2 linked regions of the Macaca fascicularis genome follow. The protein of the gene in region 1 purifies or fractionates together with the protein of each later gene. This does not show direct contact. Links are inferred from orthologs where the notes say so. Each region holds a gene or a part of one and is shown on either strand. Other genes may lie near its edges.

Region 1 (15,172 bases):
GCCTTCTTTAATCCCTTAGAACTAGGGGAATTATGAACTTCCTGTATACTCATGGTTTCTAGATAAAGTCTTGTAGTAGTACTTACCATGTTGTCTTTGCCAGTCACATGACGTCTTTGCCAGTCACCTACACTAGAGTAAGCTTCCTGAGGATCTTGCTCATTATTGAATCCCAGTACCCAGAAATTGACACATACCAGACATTCTATTCATATTAGTTGAATGAAGGAATGAATGACAGCCAAAATTCAGTTGAAAACAAGGACCCAACTAAGAACTATAGTTGCCTATCAATATATAGGACTACTTTTTAAAGCAGTGAATTTTCCTAGGCCTGAAATTATCAAAGTAGACATAGGATAATTAGTGTAGATGTTGTGATAAAGATATCTGCTCCAATGAGAGATTGGGACAGATGTCCTTTTGGGGGCTAACATCTTCAAGAATCCCTGATTCTTCCAAGTAGTTTTTTTAGGAATTAGAAGTTTTTATTTCTGCTCTATATTATCTGTGTGTCTAGTTTATAAAAATCTTGAATGCACCTTCTTCACTGTATTAGTTATACTTCAAAACCTTCAAGCATTCATCACTCTTAGCATAATACCATCATACCTAAACCAGTAGATTAAAAATAATAGTTATGGCCGGGCGCGGTGGCTCAAGCCTGTAATCCCAGCACTTTGGGAGGCCGAGACGGGCGGATCACGAGGTCAGGAGATCAAGACCATCCTGGCTAACACGGTGAAACCCTGTCTCTACTAAAAAATACAAAAAACTAGCCGGGCGAGGTGGCGGGCGCCTGTAGTCCGGGCTACTCGGGAGGCTGAGGCAGGAGAATGGCGTGAACCCGGGGGGCGGAGCTTGCAGTGAGCTGAGATCCGGCCACTGCAGTCCAGCCTGGGCAACAGAGTGAGACTCCGTCTCAAAAAAATATATATATAATATAATAATAATAATAGTTATATAATAATATAGTTGACTTAGAAGAAAACAACGAAAGTAAGAAGCGTTAGACCACTAAAGATCATCTGTGATCTAATAGTGGTCTAACGCTTCTTTCTTTCGTTGTTTTCTGTCAGCACCAGTATTTAGTGTATGTAAGGAATACCGTAAGAAAAACAAGAGTTTACACAGGGTTTAATTGTATATGTTTGCGAGACTTATCTATGCAGTTGATAAAGCCTGAATTATTGTTTTACTAATAACTTTTGTATTTGTGTTTTCAGGTCTTGATGAATAAAGCAGTCATAATTTATCTCTAGGAAGATTATACCCTGGCATTTGAAATGCTTTTTATTTAGAATAGTAGTAAAAATGGAAAAAGAAAAAGGAAATGATGATGGAATACCAGACCAAGAGAATTCCTTGGATTTTTCTGAACACTTTAACCAACTTGAATTGTTGGAAACACATGGACACCTTATTCCTACTGGTACTCAAAGTCTTTGGGTAGGCAATTCTGATGAAGATGAGGAGCAAGATGACAAAAATGAAGAGTGGTATCGATTGCAAGAAAAAAAAATGGAAAAAGACCCAAGCAAATTGCTTCTTTGGGCTGCTGAAAAAAATCGGGTAAAAAAAAAAGATTACAGAAGGAAGTGTGACAGTAGGAATAGCACTGGGTTCAAGCCAGAAGGCCTGCCTTTACTGTTATGGCCGTCATACCTATCTCTTGATTGTGAGGACCAAATGAGACAATGTACATGAAAGCACATATTAAGCTGCAAAGTGTCATGCTAGGTATTATTTGGGGGTTTAAGGATAATTATCTAGAAAGATAGCAAGCAATCATCTATATTTTAAAATCATTTATATAAAGTCATTAGGATCATTTAGGAAAGAGGATGGAAACTAACATTTATTAAATACTAACTATACCAGGTACCTTATTACATTATTTAATCCTCATGTATCTCTATAAGTAATACTCTTCTCTTTTATAGAGTAAGAAATTGAGATTCAGGAATATTAATTTGCCCAGGATCATCCAAGTGGAATGAACATCAAAAGCCTATTCCCTCTGCTTGGCCACTTCCACCTAATTTTACTAAGTTTCCCCATGTCTGTTTTAGTAAACTAATAACTAAAAGGGTCTTGCATTTTAAATAGCTTTTTAACCCAAGAGCATGCCACATTTAACCAGAGGCCCATAGAACAAACTAAAAATTACAACCTTAAAGGATGTTTCTAAGGTTGTATTGAGAAGGAATTGAGCTCTTAAATCCCTAGAATTCCCTATTAATACTTTATTCTTTTGTTAAAAGTTTTATTTTTAAAAGTTTCATACAGTGTATATATTGGTGTGATAATCCAATAGAAAAATCAAGCAGTTATGTTTTCTTCACAGATAACATATAAAATATTAAATACAATTAAAACCTATGATATTCATTGGACTGAAGCTTTTATGCAATGAACCTTAGCTGGACCAGGAGTAAGGGTATGGTTTGATATTCAGAGAATCTCATTCTTAGAAGCAACAAAGTATAGTTAACACTAACTTGTTCATTCTCACACCAGTAGTCCTCTCCTCCCAAAAAAGAGATCTTAAATTATTTTCATTTTAAAGTCATCTGCTAACAAGTTTTTATTCAACCTAATTAAATCTAACACCACAAGAAAATTTTGTTTTGGTTATTGTTTTGGTTTGAGTTGAGTTGAAAGATTTCCATTTTTCTTCTCAGCTGACTACAGTGCGGAGACTACTTTCTGAAAAGGCCACTCATGTGAACACTAGGGATGAAGATGAGTATACCCCTCTTCATCGCGCAGCCTACAGTGGACACTTAGATATTGTCCGGGAGCTCATTGCACAGGGGGCAGACGTTCATGCAGTGACTGTGGATGGCTGGACGCCCCTGCACAGTGCTTGTAAGTGGAATAATACCAGAGTGGCTTCTTTCTTACTGCAGCATGATGCAGATATCAATGCCCAAACAAAAGGCCTCTTGACCCCCTTGCATCTTGCTGCTGGAAACAGAGACAGCAAGGATACCCTAGAACTCCTCTTGATGAACCGTTACGTCAAACCAGGGCTGAAAAACAACCTGGAAGAAACTGCATGTGATATTGCCAGGAGGACAAGTATCTATCACTACCTCTTTGAAATTGTGGAAGGCTGTACAAATTCTTCACCTCAGTCTTAACAATTCTAGTAATTTTCTTAAGTTTCTAAGTACCAGTGCCTCCTTTGTGTGAGATATAAAGTATTCCCATAATCAAAGTTGACGTCAAACATCTTACTACAAAAATTCAGTGATATTCATTATAACATTCTTCCAAGTGAATTGCCTGACTTTGATGTCAGAATGTATTTAAAAGTAATTTGCATATATATTTAATGATTTCTGTGGAGTTCGTGATTTTTTATCAGAACTAATTTTAATGTGTGTATACTTAAAAACTTGACACGGGTTGTACAGAAACTGATATTTTTGGTGCTGATCCAAGAGAGATGTATTTTTAAATATCCCACATCCTGGATCTTTGTTGAGTACTTAGTATATTGACATATATTTTTATAAGGTGAGGTAACTCAGAACTTAATTTAGAAGTCTTAAATATTCTGATACAATTTAGCTGTCTTCTCTACCTTACCATAGCCAGTTGCTTTCACTTTAAACTAGAGCAAGTAACGTATTAGTGGCTTGCATCTTCATAAGTTAAAGAAAAAAACAGCAAAAAAGCTAGATCTTTGTCTTTTAGAACACAGACCATTTTCAGGAAAGCAGTTAGCGAGGTGTTTAATTCATGAATATTGTATACTGCCTCCCCTACCACAATTTACACAATCCTGTGGATAGTCCTACCTCACCCTGGTCAACCTACATGATCCTTATGCTAATGGCAAATCACAATGACCTTGTAGACATGCACACAACTATACCTTTGTCCAACAGATCATAATATATCTGCTATCCAACTGGTTTTACATGCCTAATCCTACTGATTGGGGCGCTGCTCATATAGTCTCTCAAGTTCACAGGAAATGTTGATTTTCTAAGGTCCTCATTTTTACAAACTATACAAAGCCTAAGTGACAAGGGAAAAGGAATTAGTCTAAGAGTAAGGGGATGATGATTATATTGAGGCTAAAACCACAAAGTGGCTCAGGCTTAAAAAAAAAAAAAAACACTGTGGATAATGACAAAAAGCATAAGTAAAAATATTTGAGAAAAATAAAGTAGAAGTTTTCAACAACACAAAAGGCATGAATTCATTTTTTACCTGTGTATGTCTTTCTTGGATCCAGAACATTATTCATCCAGCGTGCACTTAGTTATTTAATATCTACTCTCTCAGTTTCTCCAGCAGCAATTTTGCATTGTGTACCTAGCCCCTCTGTGATTGTTCCCAGAGTTTTGTCTTCTCAACATGAGAACACTCTAGGGGAAGAGAACTAAACCAATTGCTCTTTACTTCAGTTAAATTTTTTAAATGTCCACCAAGGCTTATCTCTTTCAAGCCATCCTATGTAACCCAGTCACCCTAGACTAAGTAATAATGTTATTTAATGAAATATTAAATATTTATTTTTGGTTAGAACTTATTAGATGATCTCAGAAAAGTCAGAGATAATACATGAACTGAATCATCGTGGCAACAGGCTCTTGAGAGTTAGTGCTTTAGTTTATGTTGTGAGCTCTGCCTAGGGAGATGCTTTGTGGCAGAAAGAGGTTGCTTTCTGTTTGATCTGGCCTAAGTTAGTGACACCAAATGACAGGTACAGCTGACAGGCAGTGATGATAGAATAAGACCTTATTTATCCAAGCAGACTGCTGAATGAGGCTGCTTAGCCTGAAAGTCACAGAACTGATGGCTCCTTTCTCATTTGAGAATGGATTGCACCCATGATTTTCCATGTAAACTTTCCATTTAAGTATGAAGCCAAAGAAGTCTTGTTTCCAATAAGGACCTAAGATGTGTCTACTCCCTTGTTTTCAGACCTCAACACTCACTGATGCTAGAGAGCAAATTCTACATATAAGACAAATCCCACCCCTGAGGGCAGAATTTGTATTGTCTGCTTCATTTATACTTTCCAGAACATTTACTAGACTGCTCTGTCCACAGAAGGCAGTTACTAATTGTGCTTTGAAAGGATTACTTCTACTTTCCAGTGTAGGCAGGCTAAATAGCTCAGTTTGCAAACAGAATTTTCTCTAATCTTGAAAAGCCTGTATGAAGACTTATTAAAAAATGAAATCTGAGTTTTTCATAACTAAGGGCTTAATTTTGATTAACCTATGCTTGAGGAAGAGATAATTTTTGTGAATGTTCAAGGTTCATATCATAATTCTTAGGCCTAAAGTGGAACTAGTTGGCTTTGCTTTTATGAATCTTAAATACGCTTTTCCAGGGAGCCTTCCAACCCACAGCCTACCACAGTGGTGGGATTTAAAGTCTTTATACTATAATATGAAGACATTTATTTTTATTATTTGACATCTATTATGTTATCTAACACTATGCTGGAAAATCATGATCAAAAGAAGCCCAGAGACTATTCTGAGATTTATGTCCTATACCAAAATGAAATCTCTGGATCAACTTTTGATTCCTGATCAACACATATACCATCTTGACCCTACCTACACTGGCTCTAGGAATTTATGCAACTACCTACGAAATAAGATCACCAAATCCTTGATTATGTCTTTCCTGTAATTTGTTTATCATAAGATGCTCCAGTCCATCTGTAGGGTTGCTAGATGACCACTCAATTTGTTCAATATGAAATGCTTTCTCTAAAGGATATTTAAGGTCTATGCTTATTAAGTTCAGAAGAGAGTAAACCAAGAAGGATTAAGTGTAGCTGATTGATGTTTTAAATTCCTGGAAATTTCCCTTTGAAACTCCAAAATTTTACTTCTCAGAACCTAAATGGAAATGATCTAAATCAGTGCCAACACATAGAAACATGTGGGCCACATATGTAATTTTATGTTTTTAGCATGACTATTTTAGATACCTCATATAAGAGGACTCATGCAATAAGGAGAGAATTGCATTTTATGGCACACAAACATAGATAAGCAAAAATCTTAGAAGTGGAAAATCATAAGAGCAATATTAAAACAAAAACAGGTAAAATTAATTATATGTATATATATTAGGATAATACATCCAAAATATGAAAGAAATATTTTAAAATTATTCAGATTTTTTTTTTATAGTAAATCTTCAAAATGCAGGGTGTATTTTAAAGCACATCTGAATTTAGACTAGTCACATTTCAAGTTCTCAGCCATGTTTGTCTAATGGCTAGTCCATTGAAAGCACAGATCTACATGCCTGAGTCATTCCCTGGAGGCAAAGAAGGATGGTTACACAGAGCATTACACTTTGAGTGAGACAAACTGAGTTCAAATCCTCAGTGCCACCTGTGGGTGACTTTGGGCAAAAAAAAAAAAAAACCTCAATTTTCTCATATGTAAATCAGGGATAATGTCTATCTTGTTGTAGGCTAGTTTGTTATTTAAATGTAAAAATCATATGGTGTAATTTATTTTGTCAATTTCTTTAATACTTTAAAAATAAATTTCAATATGAAATACATTGAAATCATATTGTTTAAAAAAAAAAAGCTACATGTGTTTATCAATGTCCTCCAGTCATCTTTTATGTAATGCATGAATGAAATCATCTGATCTTTATGAACGTTCTTATTGGTACACCAAACCTCTGTGACAATAGCTAACAACTGAGTGCTCACTGTAGGCCAACTATGCTGTATGTGCGTCGCTTGTGTGATACCATGTGAGCCTCACAACAACTCTCTGAGATACATATCATTGTACAAAAAGGAAATCAGGCTTATAGAACTTACACGGATTGCCCATTGTCATGCTATGTGCGCATGATGGAGGTTTGTCTATCTGGTTCTACCACCTTTCCTCTTCACCACATACTAGTATTTGACATGTATTTGTGAAGTTGATTAAAGAATGCATCATTTGGTGCATGTGTAGTGTATTTTCTTACGTTCCCAGAAAGCTCATGTTCAAATATCACAACTTTTTACCTGTGGTGTTTTTGAATATTATCTATATACCACCAGTTAGTCTGTCAATCATAATAACCAAAATTCCATTTTCTTAAATATTATTTTTATGTAGTTTATTTACAGTAGGGTTTGAGGACATAAAAATTACTATCAGGAGCAAAAGCAACTGCGTTTGCTTTTAAAGGTGCAGTTTATATTTTTTGAATTTAGTTACTTATATCTACTTTTAAATATGCTTGCCATTTATCCACATATAAAGTATATGTTGTACATAGGCTATAACTAAATTTATTTAATTTTTTTTTATTTTTGTTTTTTTTCTTTTTGAGATAGACTCACTATTGCCCAGGCTAGAGTGCACTGGCACGATCTCGGCTCACTGCAACCTCTGCCTTCTAGGTTCCAGTGATTCTCATGCCTCAGCTTCCCAAGTAGCTGGGATTACAGGCGTGTGCTACCATGCCCAGCTAATTTTTTGTGTTTTTAGTAGAGACCGGGTTTCACTATGTTGGCCAGGCTGGTCTTGAACTCCCGGCCTCAAGTAATCTGCTGGCCTCGACCTCCCAAAGTGCTGGGAATACAGGTGTGAGCCAGCATGCTTGGCCACTAAATCTATTAATTTTATTCCCCTTCCATGTAGGATTCCATACATGTGTGCAAATTTCTTGTTTTGTTATTGTGTGAACACTTAACATGAGATCTGCCCTCTTAAAATTTTAGTGCATAGTATTTTTTTATCTATAAGCACAATGCTTATAGATCTCTAGAATTACAGAGATTCTAGATTGTACAGCAGATCTCTAGAAATTACTCATCTCGTATAACTAAAACTTTATACTCATTGAATAGCTACTCCCCATTTTCCCTTGCCCCAGATCCTGGCAGCCACCATTCTACTTTCTGTTTCTAGGAGCATGACTATTTTAGACACCTCATATAAGAGGACTCATGCAACAAGGAGAGAATTGCATTTTATGGCACACAAACATAGATAAGCAAAAATCCTAGTAGTTGAAAATCCTAAGAGCCAAAGCAATATTTAAAAAGAAAACAGGCTCACACCTGTAATCCCAACACTTTGGGAGGCCGAGGTGGGCAGATCACGAGATCAGGAGATCAAGAGCATCCTGGCCAACACGGTGAAACCCCATCTCTACTGAAAATACAAAAAAAAAAAAAAAATTAACCGGGCATGGTGGCACACCCCTGTAGTCCCAGCTACTCGGGAGGCTGAGGCAGGATAATTGCTTTTCCTTGAATCCAGGAGGCGGAGGCTGCAGTGAACCAAGATCACGCCGCTGCACTCCAGCCTGGGCAACAGAGTGAGACTCCGTGTCAAAAAGAAAAAGAAAACGTTAAAGTCAGGATTTTTACAACCTGATTTTAAGACTAGCTATGAAACAACAGTATTGAGACAGTGTAGTATTGGTGGATGGACATGTGGATCCATAGAACAGAATACAGTCTAGAAATAAATTCAGATATAGATGATCAATTAATTTTTGACAAAGGTGTCAAGGAATGCAGTGGGACGTTCTCTTAAACAAATGGTGCTGGAACAACTGAATATATTCTTGGAAAAAACATGAACTCATTTATAGGCAGAAAGCAGTTCAGTGGTTTCTTGGTCACAGGGACAGAGGTTGGACTACAAAAGGGCAGAGAGAACCTTTTGGAGGTGATGGAAATACACCATAGCTTGATTGTGGTAATGATTTTGCAGGTGTACACAACTGTCAAAGTCACTGGGTTTTAAAGAGTAATGTAGGGTTTTTGTACATAAATTATATTTTTATGAAGTTGATTTTTAAAAATAGATATCCAGAAATAACTCATTTTATTCTTTTATTATTTTCCATGGCAAGCATAAGATGAACTCATCCTCAAATTCTAGGGATATATCTTCAGGGGGGGCCTGTTATTTAAAAAAATACATTTCACCAATTCACTGGAATTTTAAAATTCCAAGTAACACATCCTTTATAATCAGAAGGTGCAATCTCTCCATTAAATGACAGAATGGGAAACAAAATAATTGCTTTAAAATAATTAGTCCATTTGGCAGGATTCAAGAAATTTGAAAAGATAGCTAGTTACTATATAAGAAGGATTTGGTTGGCTTTTAATTTAAATCAGGACTGTTAGAACCTAAAAGAGGGTACCAAAGTGGTTTTAGCATCTACTTTTCCAAAGAAAAACGATAGCATTCAATGTCCCATTGTTTATTACTATATAAGAAGGATTTGGCTGGCTTTTCATTTAAATCAGGACTGTTAGAACCTAGAAGAGGCTACCAAAGTGGTTTTAGCATCTACTTTTCCGAAGAGAAACGGTAGCATTCAACATTCCATTGTTTATTTGGTTGTGCTGTAAGACAAACTGAGATGATTTCTTGAGACCTGTTTTAGATCTATAGAATTAAGCACAAGTAACATGAAGTAACCTATTTACTCTGGTAATATACTAAAACTTTTTATTTCTTTAAGACTTCATTTTTTTACATGAATGTGTAACTTTTTATTAGAAAACTTTAGTCTTGGGTTTTGTCTCCATCTAGTGGTCATGTTGGTCTTTTCCATTTACAGTCAGGCTTGGGTCAATGATGCATCGCCTACACTGACAGTGATCTCATGAAATTATAATGGAGCTAAATATATCCTATCACCTAGTGATGTTGTAGTTGTCATTATGTCATAGCACAACACATTACTCACATGTTTGAGGTGATGCTAAATGTAAACATACCTACTGCACTGCCAGTCATATTTACATACAACTATGTACAGAACATAACACTGGATAATGATAATAAACAACTATGTTACCGGTTTATGAATTTACTATAATATACTTCCGGTCATTATTTTATGGTATTCTTCCACTTATTAAAAAAAGTGAACCGTAAAACAGTTTCAGGCAGGTCCTTCAGGGGGTATTCCAGAAGAAGGCATTATTACCATAGGAGATGACATAGGAGTAACTCCGTGAGTGTTATTGCCCCTGAACACCTCCCAGAGGACAAGATGTGGAGGGAGAGGACAGTGATCATGATGACCCTCTGTTGGCCTAGACTAAGTATGTGTTTGTGCCTTTGTTTTTAACAAAAAAGTTTAAAAAGTAAAAAAATATATAAATAATGCATATTGAAAATACAAAAAAGCTCATAGAATGAGGCTATAAAGAAAAAAATAGTTTTGCATAGCTATACAAGGTGTTTGCATTTTAAGCTAAGTGTTATTACAAGAGTTAAAATGTTTTTAAAAATTAAAAGTTTATAAAGTCAAAAAAGTACAGTAAGCTAAGGGTAATTTATTATTGAAGAAAGAAAAATATGTTTGCATAAATTTAGTGCAGCCTAAGTCAGTAGTGTTGATAAAGTCTATAGTAGTGTTCAGTAATATCTTAGGCCATCACATTTGCCCACCACTCACTCACTAACCCACTCAAAGAAACACCAAGTTCTTCAAGCTCCATTTATGAAGTACACACTCTACAGGTGTACCTTTTAAAGTCAACTATACCATATTTTTACTGTACCTTCTCTATGTTTAGATTTCTTAAGATACACAAATACTTTCCTTGTGTTACAACTGCCTACATATGCAGTATAGTAACATGTTCTACAGGTTTGTAGCCTAGGAGCAATAAGCTATACCAAGTAGCCTAGGTGTGTAGTAGGCTACGCCACCTAGGTTTGTGTAAGTGCATTCTGATATTTGAACAAGGATGAAATTGCCTAGTAACACATTTCTCAGATACCCCCATCATTAAGTGACGTATGTGTAATTGAAATTTTTAAAGGATAAGCCAACTATCCTGGGGTTTTTTCATTCTGTTTTTGTTGTTCATTTTTAGTTTTTTTGGTAAGGATTGAAAAACTATGGAGTACTATGCTTATTACCTGGGTGATGACATAATTTGTACACCAAACTCCTGCAACATGTAATTTTCCCATACAGCAAATGTACCCCTGAACCTAAAAAAAAGTTAAAAAGAGAAAAATGGAAACCACAGTTCATACCTAAAACAGTACCTTTCATACTTATTTGCATCAGTAACTTCTTTCAAGAGAATATGCATTGGTATATAATTGAAGACACACATATAACGATTGGAAATTAAAAAAATCAAAAGCCATTTAGAAGGAGAAAGAAGGAAATAAACCACCTAAATCAATATTGTTACTAAAATTGATAGATTATCTTTAAGGTTTTTGGTAATGAAGAAAAAAGAGGAAGACAGTAATTGCTTTTTTTTGTTTGTTTTTGAGAGAGGGTCTTGCTCTATCACCAAGGCTAGAGTACAGTGGTGCGATCATGACTCACTGCAGCCTTGAACTCCTGGACTCAACTGATCCTCCAGCCTCTGCCTTCTGCGTAGCTAAGACTACAGTGCAAGCCACCACGCCCAGCTAATTTTTTTATTTTTCTTTTATAGAGACAGAGTCTTGCTATGTTGACCAGGCTGGTTTTAAACTCCTGGCCTCAAGCAATCCTCCTGCCTTGGCCTCCAAAGGTGCTGGGATTATAGGTGTGAGCCATGGTGCCCAGCCCTTCTTTATGTTTGTTTTGTGCATATTTTTTAATTTGATCAAATAAACCACATTTTTATGAGTAAAAATATTTTTAGACATTTTTTCTAAATAAAATATTCTTAATTTTTGTATAATTTTATAGAACTATAGCATACACAAAGTAAAATTCAGAAATCTTCGTGAATTCTTCAAAGTGAATAGGGTTATGTAACTATCACCCAGCTCAAGATCTAGAACATAATCAGCACCTCCAACAGCTACTTTGTGCTTCTGCTCAGTGTTCCCTCAAAGGTAACTACAATCTAACTTTTATTTCCATCATTTAGTTTTGCCTACATAAATATAGTAACTTATGTATATTTTTGCGTTTGGTTTATTTCACTCAACATTACATCTATGAGATTTGTCCATTTCTGCATGTAGTAGGGTTTTGTTCTTTTTATTGATGTATTCTGTTATACAAATATGTAATAATTTATATATACATGATATTGTTAACTTTTGGTGGGATTTTGCATTGTTTACAGTTTGGGGATTTTATGAATAGTGCTGCCATAAACATTCTAGTACATGGTTTTGGTGTACGTACTATACCTTTCAGTGCATATCTAGTAAAGCCTGCTGAGCCACAGGATGTACTTATATTCCACTTTAGTAAAAACTGCCAAAACACTTCTCCAAAGTAGTTGTACCAATTTACACTCTTAGCAGGAAATGAGAGTTCCGATTGCTCCAACATGCCCATGGCTCTTGTTACTGCCAGGTTTGTTGATTTTCATTTCTTTTTTTTAAATAGCCATTCTAGTGGGCCTGTAGTATTAGCTCATTGTAGTTTAATTTGCATTATCCTGGTGACCAATGATGTGAAGCAATGTTTTTATGTGTGCTGACTGACCACTTGGATCTCCTCTTTCATGAAGTGCTTCATCTTTCTCCATTTTCTTTCTGGGATGTGTCATTTCTTATTTTTACAAGTTCTTTATATATTCTCAATACTAGTTATTTTTGGGATATATGCTCTCTCAGTCTGTGGCTTGCCTTTTCACACTCTTACTGGTGATTTTAATGAAGAGAATATCTTAATTTTATTTATTTATTTACTTTATAGAGACAGGGTCTTGTGCTGTTGCCCAGGCTAGAGTGCACTGGTGTGATCATAGCTCAGTGCAGCCTCAAATTCTGGGGCTCAAGCAATGCTGCCTCAGCCTCCCAAGTTGCTAGGACTACAGGTGCATGCCACCATGTGCAGCTAATTCATGTATTTGTTTTTGTAGAGACAGAATCTTGCTATATTGCCCCAGGCTGTTCTCAGACTCCTAGGCTCAAGCCATCCTCCTGCCTCGGCCTCCTAAAGTGCTGGTATTACAGGCATGAGCTACAGCATCTGGCCTGAGAATATCTTAATTTTAATGACCCTAATTTATCTATTGCCTTCTTTTGATTGGTGCTTTTGGTTTCCTGGTTGAAAAATATTTGTCTACCCCAAGATCATGAAGGGTTTTTTCATTGTTATACTCTAGAACCTTTTGTGTTTTACCTTTAGTGCTATTTTGAGTTGATATTTGCATTTGACACATGGTAGGAGTAAAAGTTCATTTTCCCATATTAATATCCAATTTATCAATGCCACTTATTAAAAGGAATAGCCCCTCACACACACACAAATACACACACACTACATTGCAGTGAAAGTTTTGTCATTTATCTGGTGATCATATTTAGTTGGGTCTGTTTCTAGACTCTATTTTGTTTCATTGAGCTATCTTTGCCCCAATACCCCAGTTTTAATATTTTGGCTTTATCGTAAGTCTTATTATGTGGTAGTGTAGATATTCCAACTTCACTCTTATTTTTCAAGGTTGTTTTGACCATTCTTGCCCACTACATTTACCTTTTTTTTTTTTTTTTTTTGAGACGGAGTCTTGCTCTTTCACCCGGGCTGGAGTGCAGCGGCACTATCTCGGCTCACTGCAAGTTCTTCCTCCTGGGTTCAAGCCATTCTCCCGCCTCAGCCTCCCCAGTAGCTGGGATTACAGGCACACACCACCACACCCAGTTAATTTTTGTATTTTTAGTAGAGACGGGGTTTCACCACGTTGGCCAGGCTGGTCTCAAACTCTTGACCTCGTGATCCATCTGCTTCAGCCTACCAAAGTGCTACATTTACTTTCTAATTTTAGAATCTCCTTGTCAACATCTATTTTAAACAACCCTGCTGAGATTCATATTGGGATTACATGAAATTTCTAGATCTAGTTGAGGCAAATTAACATCATTGTAATATTCGGTGTTACAGTTCTTGAATATACTGTAATATATTTCCGCATTTATTTAGGTATTACTTTTTGTTGATAATGTTTTAGAGTATTCTGTTGGAATTCTTTCTCTCTTTTTAAAGATTTATTCTTAATGTAATTTTTGGCTCTCAATGCTGTTATACATGTTACTGTCTTTTACATTCCATTTTTAATTTTTTTTACTATATAAAAGTAACATTTATTTTTCTCTATTGACCATGTGTCCACTGGCCTTGATAAATTTATTAATTCCAATAGCTTACCTGTACATTCATTTTCTTTTCTTTTCTTTTTTCTTTTGGAGACGGAATCTCTCTCTGTTGCCAGGCTAGAGTGCGGTGGCGCGATCTCAGCTCGCTGCAACCTCCATCTCCCAGGTTCAAGCGATTCTCCTGCCTCAGCCTCCCGAGTAGCTGGGACTACAGGCATGCGCCACCACACCCAGCTAATTTTTGTATTTTTAGTAGAAACGGGGTTTCACCATGTTGGCCAGATGGTCTTGATTCCTGGACCTCGTGATCCACCCGCCTTGGCTTCCCAAAGTGCTGAGATTACAGGCATGAGGCACCGTGCCTGGCCTGAATTTTCTATGTATACAGCCATGTTGACAGCTAATAACAGTTTCATTTCTTCCTTTTTAATTTTTTTAATGTGGTAAGTTATACAGTATTGATTTTAAACAACCTTGCATTCCTGCAATGACCAAAACTTGATTGTGATGTATTATCCATTATTTAACATGTTACATTTGGGTTACATTTGCTAATATTTTATTTAATATCTGAATTGATCTTCTTGAGAGACACTGACCTATCATTTTCATTTTTAGTAATGTTCTTTCAGATTTTGGTATAAAGATGAGTTGGGAAGTGTTAACTTTTTTTTTAATTCCTGCAAGAGGTTAGATAGAATTGGTGTTATTTCATTCTTAAATGTTTGGAAGAATGTACCAGTGAGGCTTTTTCTTTGTGGAATGTGTTTTAATTTTAAATTCCATATTTTTAGTGGTTATATTTTTATAACTACTTCTATTAAAGATATATTTTTTCTTGTGTCTCTTTTGGAAACCTTTTAAGTAATTTATTTTATTTAAATTGTCAAATTTACTAGCATCAAATTATTCAAAATATCTTCCTATCTTTTTAATGCCTGTGAGATCTTTAGGTATAGATTTACCATTTCTGATATTGGTGAAACTAATCTTAAGTTTAGTCTGTGAAAACTAACAAATGATAGTTGACAGAATGAACAGCATCTTTAAAAATAGTTTTGCTTAAAATTCAGAAATATTTCTTATTTGACTTTTTCCCATTGGTTCTTGATAAAAATTAAGAA
Region 2 (15,740 bases), on another chromosome or scaffold:
CTTAAACTTCTGACCTCAGGTGATCCGCCTGCCTCAGCCTCCCAAAGTGCTGGGATTACCGGCGTGAGCTACCGCGCCCAGCCCTTTTCTTCTTTTTCAGTACCTGGGGGTGGCTGGACAAGGGGCTGCAGAAGGACGGTGGTGCTGGGAGGCACAGCTCTGGGTGGCATTGGGACAGTGGTTAGCACCACAGGTTTGGGCTGCAGTGGCGGCTTCCGGATGGGCAGGGCTTTCCCTGAAGGAAGGTGAGAGAAAAAAACAAGAAATGTCAGGACCACAGGCCTCTCACTAGGGATTCCAAGTGTCAGGAGACCCCATTACCTGAGGAGCCATCAGGGGATGGGCCCATGCTGATCTGGACAGCTCCAAGTGAGGGGGCTGGGACATCCCATAGGAGGCACCCTGAAGGGGATAGGGACTCTGTCTTCACTTCCAGGACCTCCTCTCCTATAAAAGCCTATGTGGGGCATTCCAGAGATACATTAGTCAGAAGGAGCTGAAGAAGAGAAAGCTCTCATACCTCTAGGTCAGGAGGAACTCACTGGAGCACCTGGAGGGAGGAAGGAAGTTGGTGCTCACCTGGCTGGAGGAGTCGGCTGAGAGCAGGGAGGCCTCAGAGTTGATGGAAGAACATGGAGAGACAGGTTCTATCTTGGTCTGGACATCTGTGGGAGGCAGGATGAGGCAAAAGCTGGATATCATGTAAACACTGAAGGGTTAAGAGGGTTAAGATGAGAAGCTGGGCGCAGTGGCTCACACCTGTAATCCCAGCACTTTGGGAGGCCAAGGCGGGCAGATCACCTGAGGTCGGGAGTTCGAGACCAGCCTGACCAACATGGGGAAACCCCGTCTCTACTAAAAATACAAAATTAGTCAGGCATGGTGGCGCATCCCTGTCATCCCAGATACTCAGGAGACTGAGGCAGGAGAATCGCTTGAACCTGGGAGGTAGAGGTTGTGGTGGGCTGAGATCGCGCCATTGCACTCCAGCCTGGGCAAGAAGAGCAAAACTCCGTCTCAAAAAAATAAAAAAGAAGGTTAAGATGGGGAAATGGGTCCTTTCTCTTTGAACCTGAAAATAAAACTCTTCTGGCCCTAGACTGCAGGCAATCCAGGAGGGGAAGTCACAGAGCTGCTCACCCGCTGGCTCTCCACACCACTTCGCCTAGTGCTTCCCTTTCTCCTTCGGGGGCTCCTCTAATTCTTCTCAACCTGGCTCCGTGTTCCTCAAGGCTGTTCTTGCCCTTCTGCTTTTCCCTTTTTCTTGTTCACAGAACTTGTCTATTCACATAGAATAGGCCTGAGCAGGGGAAGGTGCAGGGGGTCTCCAGCATTTACGTGGCCCAAATTCTGATCTTGGTGGATTTCCACCTTATCCTGGCCCAATGCATCTCCATGCTGACAACTGCCAAGTCTGCATCTCCCCCTGGCTACTCACCTGCACCAGATTCTGACTTCCAAGCTGCCTGCTGGTCCCTTCCATTCTCATGCCTCAACAGTCAACCAAATCTAACCGGCCATAAACGAGGCTTCCTGATTGCCCTGTCACACAAGTTTTCCTCCTAGGCACCAAACAGCAAAGCCTCAGTCATCTCCGAGCCTTCATGGCCTCCATTAAATCTGCCTTTACGACTTGTTGATCACTCCATGAAAGAAAATGCTAGGCCCCATGTTGGTGAAATAAAATCCTTCTGAGGGCCAGATTCAGCCCACAGGTCAACAGTCCACCACTACCTCTGGTCCATACTGTTCACTTTGGTATTTAATTATATAACCACTAAGATTGCTTTTTAAAACTTCAATGTACATTTTTGAATAGATAATATGGTCATGATACAAATCCAAAGGAATAAAGGAAAATTAAGCGGAAAAAAAAAATCTTCCCTTCCATGTCCTCCAGCCACTCAGATTCCCTGCACAGAAGTAACCATTATCAGAACTATCTAACCATGGTTGGGCAAGGTGGCTCACGCCTGTAATCCCAGCACTTTGGGAGGCTGACAGCCAACGCAAGTGGGTCGCTTGAAGCCAGGAATTTGACACCAGCCTGAACAACATGGCAAAACCGTCTCTACCAAAAATACAAAAAAAAATAGCCAGGCCTGGTGGCGCGTGCCTGTAGTCCTAGCTACTAGGGGAGCTGAGGCAGGAAAATCACTTAAACCCAGAAAACGGAGGTTGCAGTGAGTGGAGATCATACCACTACACTCCGGCCTGGGTGACAGGGCAAGACTCTGTCTCAAGAAAAAAAAAAAAAGGGTAACTATTTAACCATGATGTATTATAACCCTTATAAAACTCCCCAAAAGTAAGAACTATATCTCATGTCCATTGAGGGTAAAGTACAGGCCCTCAAAAAATACCTAAGTATGGAGGAGAATCTGACTCTAATAACACTATGTGATGCAAAGCCACCAACAATCTTTTTGCTGCTAACGGCAGTGGGTGATCTCGGCTCACTGCAAGCTCTGTCTCCCAGGTTTACGCCATTCTCCTGCCTCACCCTCCCAAGTAGCTGAGACTACAGGTGCCCGCCACCACGCCCGGCTAATTTTTTATATTTTTAGTAGAGACGGGGCTTCACTGTGTTAGCCAGGATGATCTCAATATCCTGATCTCGTGATCCACCCACCTCGGCCTCCCAAAGTGCTGGGATTACAGGCATAAGCCACCGCGCCCGGCCACAGTATTTCAATCCTTATTTTGTGTGTCTTCTTTATGACATTTATTAATCTGCTGGATATAATCTGCTTGTCCTTCCAAATCCACTCTCCATCTCTCCCTGCTGTGCTCTGAGATCCAGGAAGAACCTGAATGGACTGCATAAGTGGGCTCCCTGGTTGGAGTTCAGCCGGTGAGAGATGGTGCCAGGAGATCCAGAAGGTACTTTGAAATCAACAATCGACATGTCTACTGGGCATGGTGGCTTATGCCTGTAATCCCAGCACTTTGGGAGGCCAAGGTGGGCGGATCACTTGAAGTCGGGAATTCAAGACCAGTCTAACATGGAGAAACCCTGTCTCTACATGGGTTTCACCGTGTTAGCCAGGATGGTCTCGATCTCCTGACCTCACGATCCGCCCGCCTCGGCCTCCCAAAGTGCTGGGATCACAGGCGTGAGCTACTGCGCCGGCCCCACCTCTACTGATTTCTATCCTAGAATGACCACACCTGTATTGACTGGTACTTGTCTTTCTCCCATTACTAAATCACAGGGTTTGAAAGTCAGCATGGGCCGGGCGCGGTGGCTCAAGCCTGTAATCCCAGCACTTTGGGAGGCCGAGGCAGGCGGATCACAAGGTCAGGAGATCGAGACCACAGTGAAACCCCGTCTCTACTAAAAATACAAAAAATTAGCCGGGCGCGGTGGCGGGCGCCTGTAGTCCCAGCTACTCAGGAGGCTGAGGCAGGAGAATGGCGGGAACCCGGGAGGCGGAGCTTGCAGTGAGCCGAGATCGCGCCACTGCACTCCAGCCTGGGCAACAGCGTGAGACTCCGTCTCAAAAAAAAAAAAAAAAAAAAAAAAAAAAAGAAAGTCAGCATGGTGGTCAGGTCTTTGCATGCCCAGGACTCTGCTCAGTATCTGGCATGGAGTAGGTACTTAATAAATATTTCTTTTTTAAAATGATTATACCTCAGATATGATCACATCAATAAACATTTACTAAAGAAACAGCTATGAGTAAATAAACTTGAGAACACTTTAAAAACAGAACAAATAATGTTAATTGTAGAATCTAGTTTAGTATATGGTGTTCTAGCCTTTCTGTATGTTTAAAAATGTTTATGGGCTGGGCGCGATGGCTCATGCCTGTAATGCCAGAACTTTGGGAGGCTGAGGTGGGCGAATCGTGAGTTCAGGAGTTCAAGACCAGCCTGGCCAACATGGTGAAACCCCATCTCTACTAAAAATACAAAAAATTAGCGGGCGCCTATAATCCCAGGTACTTGGGAGGCTGAGACAGGAGAATCACTTGAACCTGGGAGGTGGAGGTTGCAGTGAGCCTAGATCACGCCACTGTACTTTAGCCTAGGCGACAGTGTGAGACCCTGTCTCAACAACAACAAAAATGTTTATAATAAAATGTTGGGTGGAGGGGAATCACACAGATAGATATGCCCTAAACTGCTCACGTTTTTTAAAAAGCAAGTTGAATGGCATGACAGAATACTAGAACAAAAAAAAGAGAGAAAAATGATCTCCATCTCCTCAGCACTGCCCTTGCTGCGGTTCCCTGAAATGTTTCCTTTCCTTCCTGCCTTCCCTCCTGGTTTTCTGCCATTTCCCCTCCCGACCTTTTTCTCCCTGTCCTGCTGCCTGCACTTCCCCTCTATCTACACACACACACACACACACACACACACACACACACACACACACAAAACACATTCTCCTGTAGTAAAGCCGAGGATTTGGGCCAGGCTGTTATTACCTGAGCAATCATCAGAAGTGGGGACTACGTTGATCTGGACAGTTTCAAATGAGGATGTTGGGTCATCTCCCAGGAGACACAGTGGGGGTGCCAAGGACTCTGTCTTCACATGGAGCACCTCCCCTACCCCAAGAGCCTGGGTGAGAGTTGGTGTGGGGCAGGAGGCAGAAAGAAGGGCAAAAAACACGGGAGATGTTGACAGTAAGAGCAAGAACAAAAAGCTTTAGAAGTTTAGGGCTTACAAGCCATCAATTATTTGACATTCTGGTCTGAATGGTACTGAGCATCTTTCTATCCTGTTCATTCTTTCTACTTTATTTCTGGGAGAACTGATGAAGTCTCATGATTTCAAATATGGCCTTAGAGTGGACAACTTGGGCAAGAACAGTTCCAGAATTCTCAGCAGTTAATAACTCTCTTCTTCCCAGCCCCACATAACTCTTTATATTAAAAAGACCCCAGATCAGGCGTGGTGGCTTATACCTGTAATCCAAGCACTTTGGGATGCCAAGGTGGGAGGATCACTTGAGCCTAGGAGTTTAAGACCACTCTGGGCAACATAGGAAGACCCCATTTTTACAAACAATAATAAAAAAAATTAGCCAGGCATGGTGGCATGTGTCTATGGTCCCAGCTACTCAAAAGGCTGAGGCAGGAGGATCATCTGAGCTCAGGAGATCAAGGCTACAGTAAGCCGTGACCATGTCACTACACTGTAGTTTGGGTGACAGAGGGAGGCCCTATCTCAAAAAAAAAAAGAAAAAACAAAAAACATCTTCACTGCTAGATAACCAAAAGGGATGTGGAAAATGAGGATATTAAGGAAATGGCAAAGTTAGTGGAGAAGGCCCCCCACACCTCACACACCTCATGACTCACAGTACACAAATCATTTAAATCACTTCTTTGTCACCCACGGGTGAAGGGAATGAAATAGAGTCCCTGCCACAGAGAGTAGGCGGGATATGGCTCTCACCTCGCTGGAGGGCTCTGTGGAGAGATGTGATGACTCGGAGCTGCGGGAGGAGGAAGAGCAGGGGGAAGACGGCTCAGACTTCACCTGAAGATCTGGAGGAAAGGGAGTTAGAAATTATCAGGAAGCAGTTTGAGAAGAGTCCAAAAAGTACCCAAGGACATGTCTGTGGGGATTCCCGCACCACAGCGAGGGAGAAGAAACAAAAATTGGGGATTGAAGGAGAGAGGATAGGCACTTACCTAGAGGTGTGAGAATATAGGAAGCTACGTAGTTTCTGGGAAACAGTGGGAAATGAGGGTTTCTGGAAAGCTGAGGGAACCACAAAGTCTACCTTACCTGGCAAGATCGGCAGGAGTTCCCATGGGGGCTCAGGGGGGCTGACATCCATCCCCATGTCCAGGGAGCTGCCGTCAAACTAAATAACGGAGGATATAAGAGGACAGGAGTGTGAGAAAGGGTGAGAAAGTAGGGGTGACTCCAGATGAGCTCTGGCCTGTGAATGAGTCCAGGTTCTGGGCTCACTTTCCACCCACTAAGGGTTAGAGAAAGGCTGGGGGACACAATACCGGGACATCCTGCTCGGGGCAACGGAAGAGCTGCGTCTGCTCCTCGGCCACTTCATCTAGGCCAGAATACAAGGTGCTGTCTGCAAAGAATACCGAGTGTCAGGGGGGTCGTTTAGTGGGCCCAGCCTACAGATCGCACACAAGCCCCCGCCCCATCCCTCATTGGCTCCGCTCGGCCAGACCCACCGCCCGCCCACTTGAAAAGTGATACAACCAGAGGACTTCAGCCCCTCCTTCTCCGACCCCGGAACAACTCGACGTTCCAGCAGGGAGCAGTTCTTCCCCGACTTTTGTATCCCCTTAATGCACAACGATCCCCCTGTTCCGCCCTCCTTCAGATGGCGGATTCCGTATTTGCCCAGACTTCCTCTTTAGGCCTCTGCTTCTTTCCCGCGTGCCTCAGGGACACAGTTTGCCATAGCCCCCTCCCCTCCCCGGGGCCTCACTCTGCAGACCCCAGTCCTCCGGGCTCAGCAGGTTGTCGGCGAAGAAACGCGTCGGGTCGGCAATCTCGCTGAGGAGCATCAGCTCCGCCATCTTTCCCCCCCACCCCCCAACCATGAGACGGTTCCCAAGGCCCGCCTCTCCCCATTACCAACTAATCAGTTGACTCTTTTAAAAAAGGGGGCGTCCCGGAAGCCCTACCGACCAGTAAGAGACCTGGATGCTGAGCACGTGAATCAACAGACGCGGATGGCTGTGTAGGCGGGCCCAATGGGAGCACTGCAGCAGGAAGTAACTTCCAGACAGTGCCAGACCGCCAAGCGCATGCGCCAAACAGGCTCCAGTGATAAAGAGCCTGGGAGATGTAGTACCCAGTATTAAGGTCCACCATCTCCCCCAGCCACTAAGTTTAGTTTAGACAGCTTCTGTGTGTCTTCGGAGATAGCTAAGTCCCTCAAAAGGGGCGCAGTGGGACCACTGCTACCTCCTCTAGGAAGCCAAAAGCTGAGAATGGGATATGGGCTGAAACCTTCCCTCTGGCCCCCTAACCCCAAATCTCACAGCACAGACGACAATTCACAAGTTCCTGTCTCTTTTAAGGTTTAACTTTTAATCAGCCAAACATCTTGCGCAGACCCTGAGCCAGCCCAGCATCCTGCTTCTTCCCCTGAATGACCACCTTCCCCAGTTCCTCTTGGGCTGCCCGGTTTTTGGGATCTATCGCCAGCACCTTCTTGAGGTCAGCAGTTGCTTTTTCCAGGTTCCCAAGGGCAGCCTGGGCAACCCCCCTTCGGTATAAGGCCTTTAAATGGCCAGGCTCTCGCTCCAACACCCGGTCACAGCTCTGGGCTGCCAACTGAGGCTGCCCTAGCAACAACTGACAGGCAGCCAGATTGGCATGAAGGACAGTTCGTTCTGGAGGGCCAGGTGGGGGTAAAGTCAGCAGCAGCCGAAGAGCCCGTCCATAGCATCGGGCAGCTCCTTCAGCGTTCCCAGCTCGAAATAGTTCTGTGCCCCTTGCACGTTCTTCCCTGGCCAGCGCTTCCTTCTCGCTAGTCTCCAGCTCCCAGGAGTCCCGGCCTTGAGTGAAGGACGCCAGTGTGAGCCTGACAGGAGGTCCAGAGTGCCCAGGCAGCTGAAGCTCTGCTTCTTCACCTTGACACATGGACTCCAAGCATTTCTCTATGAGCTCCCCCCAAGTTTCCTCTCTCCATGGCCCTACGCCCATTGTTAGCTCTGTCCAGCCCTCTGGCGGCCCTGATCCGAAAGGAAACCCCAAAGCCAGTACCCGGCAGCAGGAGCCTAGTTTGGGTTTGTCCAAGCCATGGCCACGGATTATGATCTTCTTGACAAAGCTCCCGTCGGGACAGTACCAGAGATCAGAAGCTTGAAGGGCCTCTGACATCTGACTGGTTGATCCATGAGACTTATGAGAGTCTCCTTCAAGTTCAGCAACCAGTTTTTCAGTTCCTTGAGTATTCTCTAGAATTTGGCTGGCTGGATCTGGGCTTACTCCCAGCTCAAGTGTTTCGGTAGGAGGGTCTCGGGGCTGCTGCCTAATCTGAGTAATTGAATCAAAGTTCTCCCGAAGGTTCTTTTCCCACTGTTGTTGCGGCTGAGAGGTGTCCTTTTCTCCAGTTGTACTGACTGCTGGCGTCTCCATTTGAATGCTTGGTCCCTTCCACCATGAGTGAACAGTTTTGGTCAGAAAGGGATGAATCAGGTTCAGGTCAGCACCTGTAAAGAAAACCAAACAATGCTAATAGCAGGGTTCTTATTTAGACTCCTTTCTCGTTCTTTCCTATTCTTCTGAGACCCAGGCCCCCAGTCCTCAAAGTCCCCAATATTACTTTCCTCCAAAAATCTGCTCGAGCTTCCCCGTTCCACCCATATATAACTTAGAACTATATATTCCACAATTCCCTGCGGTTAAGGTAGCCGCGCCAACTACGGACACCCGGTCGGGTCAATAAGTACCTCCGCGGCCAAAGTGGCTAGCATGGTGGCAGGAGGAGCCGGGCCACGGGAATCACCTCTCCTTCCAAAGCTAAATGGTTACTGAATACTGCCCTCGGAGCCTTGCCCCACGCGGAGAGGGCAGCCGCAGAGGGGAGGGGGGCGGAACAACTGGGAAAGATACTGACGACTAACCCTGGAGTTCGCGAGACTCCGAATCTAGTCAAATTCCTGGCAGCCAATCGGGAGGAGGGAGGAACTGTTTAGCCCGCCTATTGAACGTGACATCATTTCCTCCGCAACCATGAAGCTCTAGGCCTTAGCAACTGAGCAACTGAACTAGGCCAGAGCAACAGAACTAGGCAGAATCGAACAGAATTTGGCGAGGTCGGGCTGGCCAGGCCAGAATCAAAGTGAGCCAACATGGTGAGACCCTGTCTCTACTAAAAATACAAAAATTAGTAGGTCATGGTGGCGCGCGCCTGTAATCCCAACTACTCAGGAGGCTGAGACAGGAGCATAGCTTGAACTCGGGAGGCAGAAGTTGCAGTGAGCCGAGATCACACCGTTGCACTCCAGCCTGGGCGACAGAGGGAGACTCCAGACTGCGTCTCAAAAAAAAAAAAAAAAAAAAAAAAAAAAAAAAGTGGGCCGGGCGTGGTGGCTCACGCCTGTAATCCCAGCAGTTTGGGAGGCCGAGGCGGGCGGATCACTTGAGGTCAGGAGTTCAAGAACAGCCTGGACAAAATGGTGAAACCCCGTCTCTACTAAAAATACAAAAATTAGCCGGGCATGGTGGCGGGCGCCTGTATGCGAGCTACCCGGGTGACTGAGGCAGGAGAATGGCTTACCTGGGAGGCAGAGGTTGCAGTGAGCTGAGATCGCGCCATTGCACTCCAGCCTGGGCGACTGAGACTCTGGGAGGCCGAGGTGGGCGGATTACTAGGTCAGGAGATCGAGACCATCCTGGCCAACATGGTGAAATCTTGTCTCAACTAAAAACACAAAAAATTACCTGGGCGTGGTGGCTTTCACTTGCGTCCGTGTGAAGAGACCACCAAACAGGCTTCGTGGGACCAATAAAGCTTTTTAATCACCTGGGTGCAGGCGGACTGAGTCCGAAAAGAGAGTCAGCGAAGGGAGATGGGGTGGGGCCATTTTATAGGATTTGAGTAGGTAAAGGAAAATTACCGTCAAAGGGGATTGTTCTCTGGCGGGCAGGGGTGGGGGTCACAAGGTGCTCAGTGGGGGAGCTTTTGAGCCAGGAGAAGGAATTTCACAAGGTAATGTCATCGGTTAAGGCAGAAACAGGCCATTTTCACTTCTTTTGTGATTTTCCAGTTACTTCAGGCCATCTGGGTATACGTGTAGTCACAGGGGGTATGATGGCTTAGCTTGGGCTCAGAGGCCTGACAGTGAAGTGTGCCTGTAACCTCAGCTATGCTGGGGTGGGAGAATTGCTTGAACCAGGGAGTGGGAGGTTGCAGTGAGCCAAGATCCTGCCACTGCAATCCAGCCTGGCGACAGAGCAAGACTCCCTCTCAAAAAAAAAAAAAAAAAAAAAAAGAGCCGGGCATTGTGGCGCACGGCGGTAATCCCAGGCGGCGGGGGGTGGGGAGCGGATCACTTGAGGTCAGGAGTTGGAGACCAGCCTGGACAACATGGTGAAATCCAGCCTCTACTAAAATTACAAAAAAAAAAAAAAAATTTGCCTGGCATAAGGCACATCTGTAATCTCAGCTACTCGGAGGCTGAGGCAGGAGAATCGCATGAACCCAGGAAGCGGAGGTTGCGGTGAGCCCAGATCGCGCCAGGGCAACTCCAGCCTGGGCGACAGAGTGAGATTCCGTCTCAAAAAAAAATTAAAAAAAAAAAAAAAAAAAAAAAAAAAAAAGGCCAGGCGCGGTGGCTCACGCCTGTAATCCCAGCACTTTGGGAGGCCGAGGCGGGCGGATCACGAGGTCAGGAGATCGACACCATCCTGGCTAACACGGTGAAAACCCGTCTCTATTAAAAATACAAAAAATTAGCGGGGCGTGGTGGCAGGCGCCTATAGTCCCAGCTACTCGGGAGGCTGAGGCAGGAGAATGGCGGGAACCCAGAAGGCGGAGCTTGCAGTGAGCCAAGATCATGCCACTGCACTCCAGCCTGGGCAACAGCGCGAGACTCCGTCTCAAAAAAAAAAAAAAGTCAAAGTGTAGAGAAGTCCTGGAATGGAGACTGGGGCAGATGATGATAGAGTGGAGAATGGCAGAGGTGGTGGTAAGTGATAGTGGCAGCAGCCTTTTATCTGGAGACTTCAGGCCCTCCTATGTTAACTATCTTTATGTTTCGGAGCTCATTCAGTACAGGGTATTCAAAGATAAACCCTCGGGACTCTCTCTCCAACCGACCTTGTTCCTTGACTGCCTGAGGCTTCTCTTCACCTTTCCTTTCACATCCATCATTGCCTTTCAAGCCCTCCTTCATCAAGAAATCTTAGTGCTTTTCAAACATAAGTGTGCATACATATCACCTAGGAAACTTGTTAAATTGCAGATTATGATTTAGGAAGTCTGGCGTGGGGCATGTGATTCTGCATTTCAATAAGTTGGTTAATGCAGATGCTGCTGGTTCATGAACCACACTTTTTTAATTTTTATTTTTAGAGAGATGGGGTCTCCCCATGTTTACCAGGCTGGTCTCAAACTCCTGGCCTCAGGCTATCCTCCCATCTCAGCCTCCCAAAGTGCTGGGATTATAGGTGTGAGCTACCACACCCAGCAATGAACCAATGGGATGAGATTCTAGAATGGTCTCATCCCATTGTTTCTCCCCTGGCTCTGTGCCCTTTTAGTTTATCCTACATTTTGCATATATAACTGGTGTAACCTGCTCCACTGGGTGTAGCAGCTACTCCTCCTAATAGAAGATCTAGAGACCTATTGTGATTCAGTCTTGCTTGTCCAGCTACCTACACAGCCTGGGCTACCACAGTTCTCCAGGAAAGAAGGATCCTACTCTGAGTACCTCACTTTGGCTCCCTCTTCAGTTTGCTCTCACCATTGTGCCTCAGACTATAACGACCATGCCAGGACAGCCAGGAAGGGAGACAGTTTCATCATTAGCCAAAGACTGGTGTCAAAACAATTCCCTCCCTGGTTTTTTTGTTTTTGTTTTTGTTTTTGTTTTTGTTTTGTTTTGAGACGGAGTACCACTCTGTCGCCCAGGCTGGAGTGTAATGGCAAGATCTCAGCCCACTACAACCTCTGCCTCCCGGGTTCAAGCGATTCTCCTGCCTCAGCTTCCCAAGTAGCTGGGATGACAGGCACCTGCCACCATGCCTGGCTAATTTTTGTATTTTTAGTGAAGATGGGGTTTTACCGTGTCGACCAGGCTGGTCTCAAACTCCCAACCAGAAGTGATCCGCCCACCTCAGCTTCCCAAAGTGTTGAGATTACAGGCGTGAGCCACGGCACCAAGACAGGCAGATCACTTTAGGTCAGGAGTTTGAGACCAGCCTGGCCAACATGGTGAAACCCCATCTCTACTAAAAATACAAAAATTATCTGGGCATGGTGGCGGGCACCTGTAGTCCCAGCTACTCGGGAGGCCGAGGCAGGAGAATCGCTTGAACCCAGGAGGCGGAGGTTACCGTGAGCTGAGATGGTGCCACTGCACTCCAACCTGGCGCCAGAGCGAGACTCCTCAAAACAAACAAACAAACAAACCAGAAAAATAAAAAGAAAAAAGAAAAATAAATGGAAGAGATTAATTGCAGGTGGAGGAAGCAGCACAAGGCGGGAGAAGTAAGGAAAGCCACTTAACACCCAGGATTATTCCTCTCCAGTTTGTGAGTCTCAGTTTTCCCAGGCTACTCCAATACTCCTTTGTGCTGCCCTGTCACCAGGCATTGAGCTGGTTGGAAGTTTTTACACTCTCACATTCCCCTGCATTCCATACTCACCACATGGAACCATATGCTGTACTTACTCTCTTCCATTTATTATCTGCACAAGAGACAAAAATTCTAGCTTTCCAAAAGCTAAATAAATTTCCCCTTCTGTTTAGCTTTGGTGGTTTCTGTGGCTTCTAGTTTTGTTGGGATTTGTGTCAAAATCGTTCCTCCCTCCTTTTTGGCCCCAAAGCATTTTACTGTGCTTCCCTTATAGGCAGGGTTTTCAAGCAGGAGGGAGGCAGCCTTTTCGGCAGTGAAGTGTTTAATGATAACAGCTTCACTTTACCAAACGCTGGCCATGCATTATGATCATAATACCCAGCATTGTTCTAAATGTCTTGTATATATTAGCTTATTTTCCTCTCACACAACTCTATGAACTGCTTATCCATTCAGTCATTCAAGGAATTTGTTTGTTTGGTTGGTTTTTGTTCTTGTTGTTGTTTTGAGATGGCATCTTGCTCTGTCACCCAGGCTGGAGTGTGGGGAAAAGAAAGAGATCAGCCTGTTACTGTGTCTATATAGAAAGAAGTAGACGTAAGAGACTCCATTTTGTTCTGTATTTGAGATGCTGTTAATCTGTGACCCTACCCCCAACCTTGTCCTTGCAAGAGACATGTGCTGTGGTAACTCAAGGTTTAATGGATTTTGGGCGTGCAGGGTGTGACTTTGTTCCTAGAAAAGCTAGGTATTGTCCAAGGTTTATCCCCATGTGATAGGATGAAACAATGTTGCTAAAAGGTTTATCTCAAGGCACAGGATTTTCCTTTAAACTTATTCATGTCACAGATCCTTGTTCTTATGTCTTACTGCTAATTTCCTCCCTAAAAATGATCCTATTGTCCTGCCACTCCCTTATCTTTAAGATGGTAAAGATAATTATCTATAAATACTAAGGGAACTCAGAGGCCGGTGCCGGCGTGGGTCCTCTGTAAGCTGAGCGCCGGTCCCCTGGGCCCCCGCTTTTCTTTCTCTATACTTTGTCTCTGTGTCTTATTTCTTTTCTCAAGTCTCTCGTTCCACCTAACGAGAAACACCCACAGGTGTGGAGGGGCAGGCCACCCCTTCATCTGGTGCCCAACGTGGAAGCTTTTCTCTAAGGTGAAGGTACGCTGGAGCGTGGTCATTGAGGACAAGTCGACGAGAGACTCCCGAGTACGTCTACAGTCAGCCTTGCGGTAAGCTTGTGCGCTCGGAAGAACCTAGGGTAACAATGGGGCAAACTAAGAGTAAATATGCCTCCTATCGCAGCTTTATTAAAATTCTCTTAAAAAGAGGGGGAGTTAAAGTCTCTACCAAAAATCTAATTACGCTGTTTCAAACAATAGAGCAGTTTTGTCCATGGTTTCCGGAACAGGGAACTTTAGATCTAAAAGATTGGGAAAAAATTGGCAAAGAATTAAAACAAGCAAGCAGGGAAGGTAAAATCATTCCGCTCACAGTATGGAATGATTGGGTCATTATTAAAGTAGCTTTAGAACCGTTGCAAACAGAAGAAGATAGCGTTCCAATTTCTGATGTCCCTAAAAGCTGTGCAGTAGATTGTGAAAAAGAGGCAAGGATAGAATCCTGGAAAGGAAAGGAAAGTTCACACTGTGAATGTGTATCAGAGCCGGCTATGGCTCGGTCAACGCAAAATGTTGACGATAATCAATTACAGGAGGTAGTATATCCTGAAACGTTAAAATTAGAAGAAAAAAATCCAGAATTAGCAGAGCCATCAGAGTCTAAACCACGATGGCCAACTGCTCTTCCAGCAGCTCAAATGCCTGTAACTTTACAACCTCAAATGCAGGTTAAACAAGTACAAACTGCAAAAGAAGATCAAATAGAAAAAGATAGAGTTTCTGTCATGGCAATGCCATTCCAAATGCAGTGTCCACAATATCAGCCGGTAGAAGATAAGACCCAGCCGCCAGTAGCCTATCAATACTGGCTGCCAGCCGAACTGTGGTATCGGTTGCCCCCAGAAAATCCGTGTGGACAGCCAGGAACATTTCTAGCGCCACAGGGCAGGGTACCATATCCTCAAGCGCCCACCATGAGACTTAATCCTACAGCACTGCCTAGTACACAGGGTAGTGCGTTACATAAAATTATTGATGAGGCAAGAAAACAAGGAGATATTGAGGCGTGGCAATTCCCAGTAATATTAGAAGCAAGACCACCTGGAGAAGGGGCCCAAGAGGGAGAGCTTCCCGTAGCTGAAGCCAGATATAAGTCCTTTTCTATAAAAATGCTAAAAGAAATGAAAGAAGGAGTAAAACAGTATGGACCCAACTCTCCTTACATGAGAACATTATTAGATTCCATTGCTCATGGACATAGACTCATTCCTTATGATTGGGAGATTCTGGCAAAATCCTCACTCTCACCCTCTCAATTTTTACAATTTAAGACTTGGTGGATTGATGGGGCACAAGTACAGGTCCGAAAAAATAGGACTGCCAATCCTCCAATTGACATAGATGCAGATCAACTATTAGGAATAGGTCAAAATTGGAGCACTGTTGACCAACAAGTAATAATGCCAAATGAGGCCATTGAGCAAATCAGGGCTATCTGCCTTAGGGCCTGGGAGAAAATCCAAGACCCAGGAACCGCCTGCCCCTCCTTTAATACAATAAGACAAGGCTCTAAAGAGCCCTACCCTGATTTTGTAGCAAGACTTCAAGATGCTGCTCAAAAGTCAATTACCGATGAGAATGCCCGTAAGGTCATAGTGGAGTTGATGGCATATGAAAACGCCAATCCTGATTGTCAATCAGCCATTAAGCCATTAAAAGGAAGGGTTCCCGCAGGATCAGATGTAATCTCAGAGTACGTTAAAGCCTGCGATGGAATTGGAGGAGCTATACATAAAGCTATGCTTATGGCTCAAGCAATCACAGGAGTCGCTTTAGGAGGACAGGTTAGAACATTTGGGGGAAGATGTTATAATTGTGGTCAAATTGGTCATCTAAAAAAGAATTGCCTAGTCTCAAATAAACAAAATGTAACTACTCAAGCTACTACAAGAACAGATAAAGAGCCACCTGGCCTATGTCCAAGATGTAAAAAGGGAAAACATTGGGCTAATCAATGTCGTTCTAAATTTGATAAAAATGGGCAACCACTGTCGGGAAACGAGAGGAGGGGCCAGCCTCAGGCCCCGCAACAAACTGGGGCATTCCAAATTCAGCCCTTTGTTCCTCAGGGTTTTCAGGAACAACAACCCCCACTGCCACAAGTGTCTCAGGGAATAAGCCAGTTATCACAATACAGCAATTATCCCCCGCCACAAGCGGCAGTGCAGCAGTAGATTTATGCACCATACAAGCAGTCTCTCTGCTTCCAGGGGAGCCTCCACAAAAAATCCCCACAGGGGTATATGGCCCATTGCCTAAGGGGACTGTAGGACTAATCTTAGGAAGATCAAGTTTAAATCT

Evidence for each region.
Region 2: the proteins of ANKRD49 (region 1) and FKBPL purify together in Homo sapiens (affinity purification with mass spectrometry; 4 studies listed by BioGRID and IntAct, counting the BioPlex papers as one, with this or other methods). This does not show direct contact. The link is inferred for Macaca fascicularis from reciprocal best matches to the Homo sapiens genes ANKRD49 and FKBPL.

Annotation. Positions count from the first base shown.
Region 1 is NC_088388.1:93,485,939-93,501,110, forward strand, and holds the end of ANKRD49 (ankyrin repeat domain-containing protein 49), read left to right. Parts: intron 1-1,226; 5' UTR 1,227-1,314; coding exon 1,315-1,572; intron 1,573-2,684; coding exon 2,685-3,146; 3' UTR 3,147-4,207; downstream 4,208-15,172. UniProt on the Homo sapiens protein: Induces HBG1 expression. May have a role in spermatogenesis where it promotes autophagy in response to serum starvation, via the NF-kappaB pathway.
Region 2 is NC_088378.1:139,578,374-139,594,113, reverse strand, and holds FKBPL (FK506-binding protein-like), read right to left. Parts: upstream 9,246-15,740; 5' UTR 9,227-9,245; intron 8,616-9,226; exon of another isoform or gene 8,397-8,615; intron 8,157-8,396; 5' UTR 8,083-8,156; coding exon 7,033-8,082; 3' UTR 7,013-7,032; downstream 1-7,012. Other genes in the region: ATF6B (cyclic AMP-dependent transcription factor ATF-6 beta), read right to left, coding at 104-235, 322-457, 580-665, 4,434-4,569, 5,410-5,501, 5,746-5,824, 5,976-6,055, 6,422-6,536. UniProt on the Homo sapiens protein: May be involved in response to X-ray. Regulates p21 protein stability by binding to Hsp90 and p21.